Linked DNA regions of Drosophila melanogaster. The protein of the gene in region 1 interacts with the protein of each later gene in a pairwise test. Each region holds a gene or a part of one and is shown on either strand. Other genes may lie near its edges.

Region 1 (5,315 bases):
GCCGCTGGACGTCATCTTGACCTCCTTACCGTCGCCCTCCTTGGAGTAGACGCCCACCACCACGCCCTTGATAACAGTCTTGTTGTCACACTTGTCTGCTAATCCCCTCCAGATTTGAGAATCCGCTGGCTGAAGTCTGTGGTTAAAAAGTGGTGTTCCAAACAGATTGTACGATTTCCAGGGTGCCGTGACCTGTTGATATAATCTTGGATTGCGCGTAAAAGCACTGATCATGCGTGTGGATGCCATCTTCGAGATACACGGTGTGTGGTTAGTCCTGGTTAGTCCGCCCTTGCGCACGTCTGGTTAGCTTTTTTAGATCACGAAGTGCCTAACAATTTTGGAATGACAGTTGAAAGTGTGTTCCTCTGTTTGGCCTAAGGCTATACTAACTAGATCATCCAAAACGGAGACAATATCTAACAGGCCCCCTTCGTTTGACAACAATTAATATCAAAGTACCATTTAAGAATCTAATTGAGGCCAGAACATAAAAACCGATCAATTACAATTGTAAAACTTTCGACATACATGTATTTACCCCGAAAAAAGTCATATATATGTATAAACATTTACTCTCCATCAGAGTCGCCTTGATTTGAGGGCTTGAGGCTGCCGAAGACCTTGGCTGGAATGGCCTTTTGTTCGAAGCGCAGTTTCTTCATGACCAGGCCTTCCTCGTCGGTTTTCGTGACCGCTGCACTGGCCTGATTCTCGTTCGTCATCTCGTTCTCCTCATCGTCGTCCTCCTCCTCATCGTCCTCGTCGCTGTCTCCAATGTCGATCTCATCAGGATTGACGACCGTATCCTTTTTATCCTTAGCACCACCCTGAGTCTCACCGCGCACAAACATAATATTCGAGGCCGCCTTCTCGATGGGCTTCTGTTTGGACTCGGCTGCCGCCTGGCGAGCTTTCTCCTCCAGCAATCGCATGGCATCCGGTCCAGCTCCTGCTCCAGCATCCGCAGCCGCTCCGTTGTTTGTGCTCAGGAATTGGGCGGCCATCATGTTCACCTGCGTATTGTAAGTGGCCTGCACAGAGCGCTTGATGCGCAGCATTTCGCGCATTGTGTCTTCGTTGCCGTGACGCACTTCGAACTCCTTCCAAGTTTGCCAAAAGTCTGCAGTGATGCGGGGATCACAAACCTGAAGAATGCAAACAATAATTAGATTAAGTGATGCATTAGAAATCTATATATATTATCATACCTGTGAGCAATGAGCATAGATGGCTCTAGCTCGATCCACTTCGCCCAACTTCGTTTCCAACTCAGCAAACTTAACGCACATGTGGCGCATATTCTGCTCGGGCAGCGATTCGATGGCCTTCTCATAGATCTCGCGGGTACGTGGCAGGCCATAGATCTCGGCTGCCTTCTTTATAAATATGTTGTACATGTCGAACATCTCATCTTCTTTGACAGCAGACGTGGCACGATCATAGACCGACATGGCATGCCGGGCGAGACCGTGCTCCTCTTCCAACTTAGCATACAGTAAATAAAAGTACTTAGCATGCTCGGGAGGACACTGATCCAGGCACTGTTCGAAGAGATCTCTGGCTCGCTCCAGTTTTGTGCCGCCATAGCGCTCCAAAAATTTGGTTAGATAAGAGTTCCAAATGTCGTAGACATTGGGCCACTTGAACAGAGAGATGCCCTTCTCATAGGCTCGGTAGGCTTCCTCAAAGTAGTTGTGCTCCTCGAGGAACATTCCGTAATTGATAATGATCTGTGGCGTACAGATTTTCAGATCAATAATCCGCTCGTAGACGGCTTTGCACGTCTTGAATGTGCCGAATGACTCCTCCAAATCCGCGTACATGGACCACACTTTTAGCGAGCGATGAAGGCGCGCCTGCACCGTTTCCGTATCATCATAATAGGCAATCTTTCGCTTTGGCATGGCCGTCGCCCTTTGCATCAGCTTGAGTGCCGCCTCGAACTGCTGTTGCCGTAACTCCATCTCTGCCCATTCGCACCACACCGCCGCCAGATCCTCTACTTTAACATACTCAACCTCAGTGCCGCGTTCGAAGACCACACGAGCATCCTCCACCTGTCCGTTGGCCTCGTAGAACTTGGCGAACTCCACCCAGAGAGTGTGTAGTTTGCCGACCGCCTGCTTCGGCTGCACTGTTTGCACGGCCTCGGTGTACGTACTGATGATCTCGGCGGGCTTGTCCTCGTACAGTGTCACCCGCTTGTGCCACTCGTGCACGTTGTGCGGATTCTGGCGCAGAAGCACACTATTCAACAGCAGCAAACGGCGCTCCATGAGGTATTCGAAGCGTGAGAGCCGCAGTTCAACGTCAATGTCGTCCTCCTCGGTGGCCGCCTCATTGGCAGCTACCTGCTCCATACGTCTGTTCAGCGAGAGTTCCTCGAACTGTGCGTATTCATCAAAGACTTGGGTGAAGTCTCTTACGGTGGTCACAGTTTGAATGGCTTCCTCGTATATATCTCTTGCCCGATCAAATAAGCCGGAACGCACATAGTAATCCGCCAGAGAGTTCCACAGGTGGCCCAGCTGATCGGTGTAGCGACGCAGCCCACCGCGAATGATGGCGTCCACGTTCAAGGAGTGCACCTTGTGTGGATTCTTCGAGATGAGGTCGCACAATTCGTTCCACAGCTGATGATTGGACTTGCCGTGTTTGGAAACGAAGTGCTCGTTGTCGACGATGTGCGCCAGCTGCTGGGCAGCTTCGTCCAGCCGATCTGCTTCCTGTAGGTAGTCCACATATTCCTCTGTGTCCTCGGGAAAGAGTTTCAGATATCGACGGTAGACTCGCAGTGCTGTTTCCGGCATTTCAAAGCGGCGTACAAACTGCAAATACAGTGGCCAAATCCTGCCGTGCTGCGTGATGGGCAGAGCCCTTAGAGCCCGATCGAAAACGTGCCGGGTGCGGGTAATCTTGCATTGCGAGGTCATGAAGGCACCGTAGTCCATCCAGATACGTGGCATTTTGTGCATAAACACCAGTGCACGTTCGAAGGCACTGTTGACCTCCTCGTACATGGGATCCGTGGGTATCTTGCCGCGCACCTGCTTCCTGCGAGTTCTCAGGTAATTGTGCCAGATCTTATAGCTGCCAGGAAGCTCTTTCAGAGCACGCTCATAGACCATGTTAACACCATTATTCGGCGCCTTCGCTTTGTGATCAATGTAGCGCAGCCAATGTTTTACGGAGTAGGCGTTTCGAAGGATTTCCTCCTCATACGGCACATCCTCCACTTCCTGTGTGTGAAAAACTTGATAGGTTAGTTGTGATTTACATATATTTCATGGTACTTACGAAATTGATCTCTAAATTCAGAGATTTTATCGTTTTTGTCACCATTTTTCGCGATTTTCATGAAATGCCGCAAACAATAATTTTCTCATGCGCGTCCCACGAAAACAGCTGATCGAAATGGCGTTGCCAGAAGGTTTGAAAAGTAGTGGTATTAAGATACCGCAGCTAATACCAAAGTAATTAAATCCTAATTAACATGTAAACAATATTTTAAGAATACAGAAAAATTGTTCATAAAACTAAGATAACTTTGGCTTGTGTACATTTTTTTTACAAATTGTGAACATCTAGAATTTTCTAAGTGCACCTTATTTAAACGTTGAAGTTATGGACAAACCAAAACAATCGTGAATTTTCTAGAGTACCATTGCGGTATATTTTGCCTCCCTTTGAATTGGTATTTCGCCCTTCGTCCGCTGCCCAACACTGGCCTCAGTTTGTGAATTTTTCGTAAGCCCATCTGCAGATGTTTTCGTCGCTGCTGCCAATATTTTGACGTTCATACCGTTTGCGTATTTCGCAGAGACCAGTTAACGCGCTCGTAAAATCGCAAAAAACACACTTAACGCGATCGTTTGTTCTGTTTTTGTAAACACATTGCAATTGGCCTGCATTTTGCATAATTTACGCAACGAAGGCAACTGCGTGAGTGCACCAACACACACACACACACACACAGCCGTGCAAAAGAGAGCCAAAGAGAGTGAGGAGCGCAGGCGAGTTGGCAGCCAAAGGCAAAAAATCAAAGTCTATCGAAAAAAACACTATAAAAATAGATCAAAATGACGCGCTTGAAACATTTCTCAGCATAGAACGACTATCAATCGAATTAAGTTTTAAGTAATACCCAACGACCGTGGAAAAACCAAGCACAGTGGTAAGTAAAAGACGAGGGGAAAACACGAAAAAACACGTCACACGTGTGCGTGTGCTTGCAAGTGTGTGTGTGCGAGCGTGTGAGTGGGTGGGTGTCATAAATATTTTCGCACACACTTGTTCCTGCATTGATTTTATATTTTTCGCACAGGCTCAAACTTGTGTGTGCCGCCGCACTCCAATTGGTCCAGGTAAATCCAATTAGACTGGATCCTAGGTAAAAAAAAACCACCACCGGAAAATCTATTTCCCCGCTTCCCGAACAGCTGTTTATGATGGTTCTCAAAAATTTTCCACTCGCTCTTGTTGCCCGAGGGAAAATTTTGGGCATTTTAGGGCCTCCCGTATTGAATGTAAACAGAAAACACACACGAAAGTGCGGAAAAGCGCTTAGATTTTCCTTGCCGGCTGTGGCCCAATATCTCTCTCTTTGCCACCCCCTCTCTTCGCACTGTTGCCACCCACTAAACTGACACACTAAGCCGCCCGCCAGCAACAACAGCAACAACAAAGGCGGCTAAAACCACTGCAGCTTTGAGCCGCATGCAGCTTTTTTAACTGCCAGCGGAAAAGCTTTATCAATTCAGTTGGCTAAAATCCCAGCAAAGATTCGGGTTTATTTCAAGGAAAACTTTTAATTCTTAAAATTAAAAATGCCCGTTGTTTTCAAATGAGATTTTTTAAAATGATTATTATGTCTAAAAATTGTAAATAATCTAAAAGAGTTGAAAAAACCATAGCATATTCACTTAAAAATAGCTTAAAAACATTGCTAATTATAAAATATCATATTGAGATGACTTCTGCTAACAATATTATATCATATTCAATATTTTGCCCACTGAGAATGAGAATGTGCTGACCACAATTTCCCCTAAGCCACCCACTGCACTTCAACGAATATTCCAGAAACGCTCGGAGAAAGCTTCTCTTGGCCAAAAGCAGCTTTCCTGCCGCTTTTTATAGTCTCATTTATTGATTCCATTCCTCTCTTCTGTTCTTATTTCTACTTGCAGCCAAAGCAACGCATCGACGCATAAACGCTAGTTAATAATAAAAGTGCATAAAATTATTCGTATTCCAACCATCTTCCGTCATCTAAAGTGCTAAAAATTCGTCACCATGTCGCGTTCAAGTAG
Region 2 (4,566 bases), on another chromosome or scaffold:
AAAACATTATAACACCAGTTTGTCTCGTCAAAGATGTAGTACCTTGCACAGATAATAAAAAAAAATATTTTGTGGCATTGTAAAGCTTAAAAAATTCCCTCAATGTGTGTGTGTAGAACCCTTGACATAAAACGTTTACCTCATCATAACTCAAATAGATAAGCATAACTATATTTATGGGTTTTTCAAAACCAGCTTAATATTGTAGTTAAGTTTTCCCAAAAGTCAACTTATGTAGCTTAAATTCTTATTCACTATATATGTATAATAATAATAATAATCTAGTTCTTAACTAATTCATCGAGAGCGCGTAATGGAGCACCTGTTAATAGAAATTAAGCTAAACTAAATTTATTATTATGTCATTCAGTTAATAGAGTGCCTTTTGCTTTTTTGCTGCCCTATACTCAGACTAGCGTGACAGTCCATTCATCGTAATTTAAAAAAAAAAATGTAAAAACAGAATGGGCCAGAAAGACAAACTAAAACCAGAAACCAAACCAATTGTACAATTGTTTTGTTTGGCCGCTTTTCATCTGCGGTCAATAAAATCAGCCACGCTCTGCGATCCCGCAAATATTTTAATTCAGTTATTGTATTTTATTTTTGGAGCCCGTATAAGCAAAGTACCCTGTACTTAATGTTTTGGCTCTATGATTCTCGTTTTATTTCAATTCACTTTCAGTAACTTCCCTTTCAGATAAACAATACAGTAAGGACTGGCACAATGATGTCGGCAGCTGTTTATCAAAGTGGAACTGGACTGCGGAATTGTTATCAGGCACAAAAAAAAAACATGGCATTCGTTTTTAAAACTCTGTTTCTTTGTTCATCGTGTAATAGTACAATACAGCAAATGAAAATGGAAATATTAATATGATTCATATAACGAACGAATGAGAAAAGTGATTATGCCATTAGTTCAACCTTAAAGAATTCCATTCCTTAAAATTTTGTATACTTTACGGAGAGCTTATCTATAAGAGTTCTCAAGTAACTATTATTTTCTGTCCCAATGAACAATATCTATTACTCTGTTGTTCAAACGACATCGACAAAAGCAATGTATAAGAAGAAAAGTCGGAATGTGAGTTCTTAATTAAATATTGATTAAAAGGCTTTGCTGATAGATAATTGATTGCTGATTAATGAATAGGTATAGCGCTATTCACCTGAATCTCACGTGAAATGGCACCTTTTTGGGGCCATTGAACAATATTCTATAGTATAGCCCGCGGGGCATGGCACAGCTGGTTTAAGGTTATTGGGTTAGTCTATTCAAATTCAGATTTTTGGCTTTACGAAATAACACACATTTAAGAACAAATACACCCAATACAAGAAATAATACATTAAAAACTATTTGACTTGGTATTGAATATTTTTAAAAATAATGTAATAATACATTAAGTAAGGAGCTCTTTAAGGATCAGTCTTTTAGAGTCATTCATAATTATTAAAACTCATTTACTAGGTAGTTCTCTTCTGGAAAACGAAAACATGCTAAAAGTAGCATAAAGTACTATTCTTATTCAGTCCCATATGTTGCAAGGAGAGTTCATTACTTTGATGACTGATGGAAATGGCTACTGTTTTTTTACTTGAAGCAGGAAGAACCATATGTATGTTTATAGTACAAGTTCCAGCTTCCACTATCAGTTGAATTTGAATGGCAATCACTAGGTGCAATCTGCATATGAATTATCCCCGCAACAATAACAAGAGAAGGCTAATCAGAGAGCAGAGACGAGAAATACAAATACAAATGCACGCACAATAGCATGTGCTGCTCTCTCTCTCTCTGTCGAGATAAAAATGAGAGGGAGAGAAAGTGACGCCCACTGGAACCACAAATAAATTAAAGTAAATGCGTTTCGGCTGCAGTTAATTCACCCCCCGGATGCAAAAGGGAATAGAGGGGGAGGGCTGAGTGCATGGCAGGGCATAACGGAAATGACAACTGAAGAGAGCCGGAGAGCGAGAAACCAAAATGCAGCTGTTTGGGGAATGTCATTACATTAACAGAGACAACAACAACCACCAGGATAAGACATCACGAATTGGGAAGCCACTTCTCGCCTAGTTATCAACATATTCCTTTGTGTTTAGCGGGTTATTAAAAATACTCAAGACCAACGACCCTCAAACAGATAACATATTAGAGTTGTCGCCTTAAATGCCTCAAACACACTTGGAACAGAACGTTAAATTTAATAAATGCTGTACCTTATAATTTAAACTTTTTGCATTGATTTTATAATTTTTAGGCATAGGATCAGAGTTTACAAATATTTTAGGAATGGGGACCCAAGAGTTTAGCTATTTTTTTTATACTGTTCTCAATTCTTTTCTTCATTAGCTTTATTTTAACATCCTGCAGCAAGGGGCTTTGGTAGTGTGAGTGGCCGGACTGGAAGGAAAGGCCGTCAGGCAATTCTTCCTTCCACTTCCTTCTAGTCAATTTCAGTTTCCAGTTGGAAACCAATATATGTACATATGTATATTCTCGTGCGTTACTTGCCGTAACAGTGGCTTAAACTTGTTCGTTCTTATTGTTTTGGTTTTATTCACACTCTTCACCTTCGTTTGCTCTTCCTTGTCACGTTCTTCTTGCACTCTATGTACATACACCATATGCGCAATTGTATATTATATTTATTGCGCTTTCTGTTTTGGCACAAAACGCAATTTTTGCTGACCGATTAGTTTTCCGTTCAGGTAAATTCCGCACGCGTTTCATTTCATTTGATTTTTAAATCACCGTTTTTCGCGTCGCCCATTTACTTACGAATTGATTTTTCCTCACGCGTTTCTCCATCGCAGGACGCTCCCAAAAAGCTTTTAATTTCGCGATGAGTGCGTTTTATTCACAACTGCTTTCACGTTTTGCACATTCGCTTAATTGCTGTGTTAGTCGAGCCACTCGAAATATTTAATTAAACTTATTTTCCGCGCCCTTTCCTTGATTTTCAACAAGCGCATAAGTGAAGCAAGCGAACGCGCCGGACAAACAAAAACAACTGCCGCGAATTCTAAAACTGAGCACGAGCGAGAACGAAGAGAACAGAGTACACTGGCAAGAAAATGTTGAAAGTTGTAAATTAAAAAAATTTATGATTATGATCGAAGTTGAAACATAAGCTATTATTGCTGTCTAGTGCAATAAAAGTAAAAAATTTGAATTTAATTACACCAAGTATTATTAAATATATTATTTAAAATATCAGTTCCCAATAAGTATTTTTAACTATTTCATATTTAACCAGAATATAGTACAAATTAGTACAAAAACAAATAAATTTAAATATCGCAGTATACAAGTTATTTGTTTCTACCTGTGCAATCAACAGAATTAAGTGAGAGAACCAAAGCTCACTCTCTCTCTCTCTCGCTGTTCTTTTTATATGCTTGTGTCGGAAAGGGGGTGTAAACCGGTACCGGCTTTCTATAAAGAGCGAGAGTGATTTGAAAATTATAAAAAAAACTTCTATTAAACTAAAATATTATAGGTAAGATATGTAGTTTGTATATATAAGTGGTGTGACTTCGATTTATCAATGGCCTGTTTCTCTCATCACTCGCTACTAGTCACCATATATTTGGCAAAACAGCTGTTGGAAACTATCTTAAGGGTTTGTTTTTGGGGTTGGTTCTAAGATTTGTGTCCACTCTTTCGAATATTACTTTCTCAAAGAATGAATACAAATATATGTGCATAATATATAAATTGATAATTGTACGTCTGAAATATCTCCAAAAATCACAATCTAGAAAGGAAAGAATATAAAATTACCGAAAACTTGTTCAAATTTTGATTTTTGAAAATCATTAAAATTATGATAGGGATAGTTAGGTATGCTTATGAGCAGTATAAAACAGTGTTTTTTTTCGTTAGATGTGCCACCTTTTTTTTACCAAGTTATAGAGAAAACCCCGTTTAAAAATATAAGATTTTTGTATTTTTTTTTTTTTTTTTTCTAGTAAGATTTCACAAGCTATAAAAATAGTTGTCCAAAACCGTTATTAGAAAATATAACTAACATCAAATTTGAATGCAAGAAATTTTTTGCATTGTACGTTAAAAATTTGCGATATCGCAACTGTAATTAAACAAGTTATGTATACGCGCAAACTCGTTAAGAAACGTTTTTGTTTGATTCGTTATCTATTGTACATTAACAACCGGCTTCTGTGATGCTAAAGACTTCTAATACTTCATATTCGAAACCTGAACATAGACTACTTGAAAATTTATTAAGGTAACTCCATGTTGTCAGCCAAAATTAGTGAATATACGTTAAATATTTTTAAACCCAGAAATCGAAATTAATGCAATTGGTGACGAATGCCTTTAATAAATATTTATTGATGTGGGGCTGGTTAATGAGTTCATATAACTTTTTGCAATCGATCACTTCAGATAAGATAGTATTTCTTGTTAGCATTATCTGACAACTCTGATAAGGGCAAATTCTGTCTTCTAATTAGTGAGCAACGAATGAGAGTTCAGGAGTTTTTTAAACGCTACAGTCGAGTTTCGTGACTACCAGATACCCGTTACTCAAA

What was found. Proteins that work in one complex are often made in the same cells at the same time.
Region 2: the proteins of fand (region 1) and C1GalTA interact in a two-hybrid assay, tested with the Drosophila melanogaster proteins (one large-scale study listed by BioGRID).

Annotation. Positions count from the first base shown.
Region 1 is NT_033778.4:13,591,756-13,597,070, reverse strand, and holds fand (fandango), read right to left. Parts: upstream 3,428-5,315; 5' UTR 3,346-3,427; coding exon 3,301-3,345; intron 3,243-3,300; coding exon 1,212-3,242; intron 1,149-1,211; coding exon 573-1,148; 3' UTR 514-572; downstream 1-513. Other genes in the region: S-Lap5 (Sperm-Leucylaminopeptidase 5), read right to left, coding at 1-249; CG45088 (uncharacterized protein), read left to right, coding at 5,299-5,315. UniProt on the Drosophila melanogaster protein: Subunit of the NTC(Nineteen)/Prp19 complex, which is part of the spliceosome. The complex participates in spliceosome assembly, its remodeling and is required for efficient spliceosome activation. Essential for efficient pre-mRNA splicing.
Region 2 is NT_033779.5:8,948,190-8,952,755, forward strand, and holds the start of C1GalTA (core 1 galactosyltransferase A), read right to left. Parts: upstream 3,028-4,566; 5' UTR 2,789-3,027; exon of another isoform or gene 2,581-2,788; intron 1-2,580. UniProt on the Drosophila melanogaster protein: Glycosyltransferase that generates the core 1 O-glycan Gal-beta1-3GalNAc-alpha1-Ser/Thr (T antigen), which is a precursor for many extended O-glycans in glycoproteins.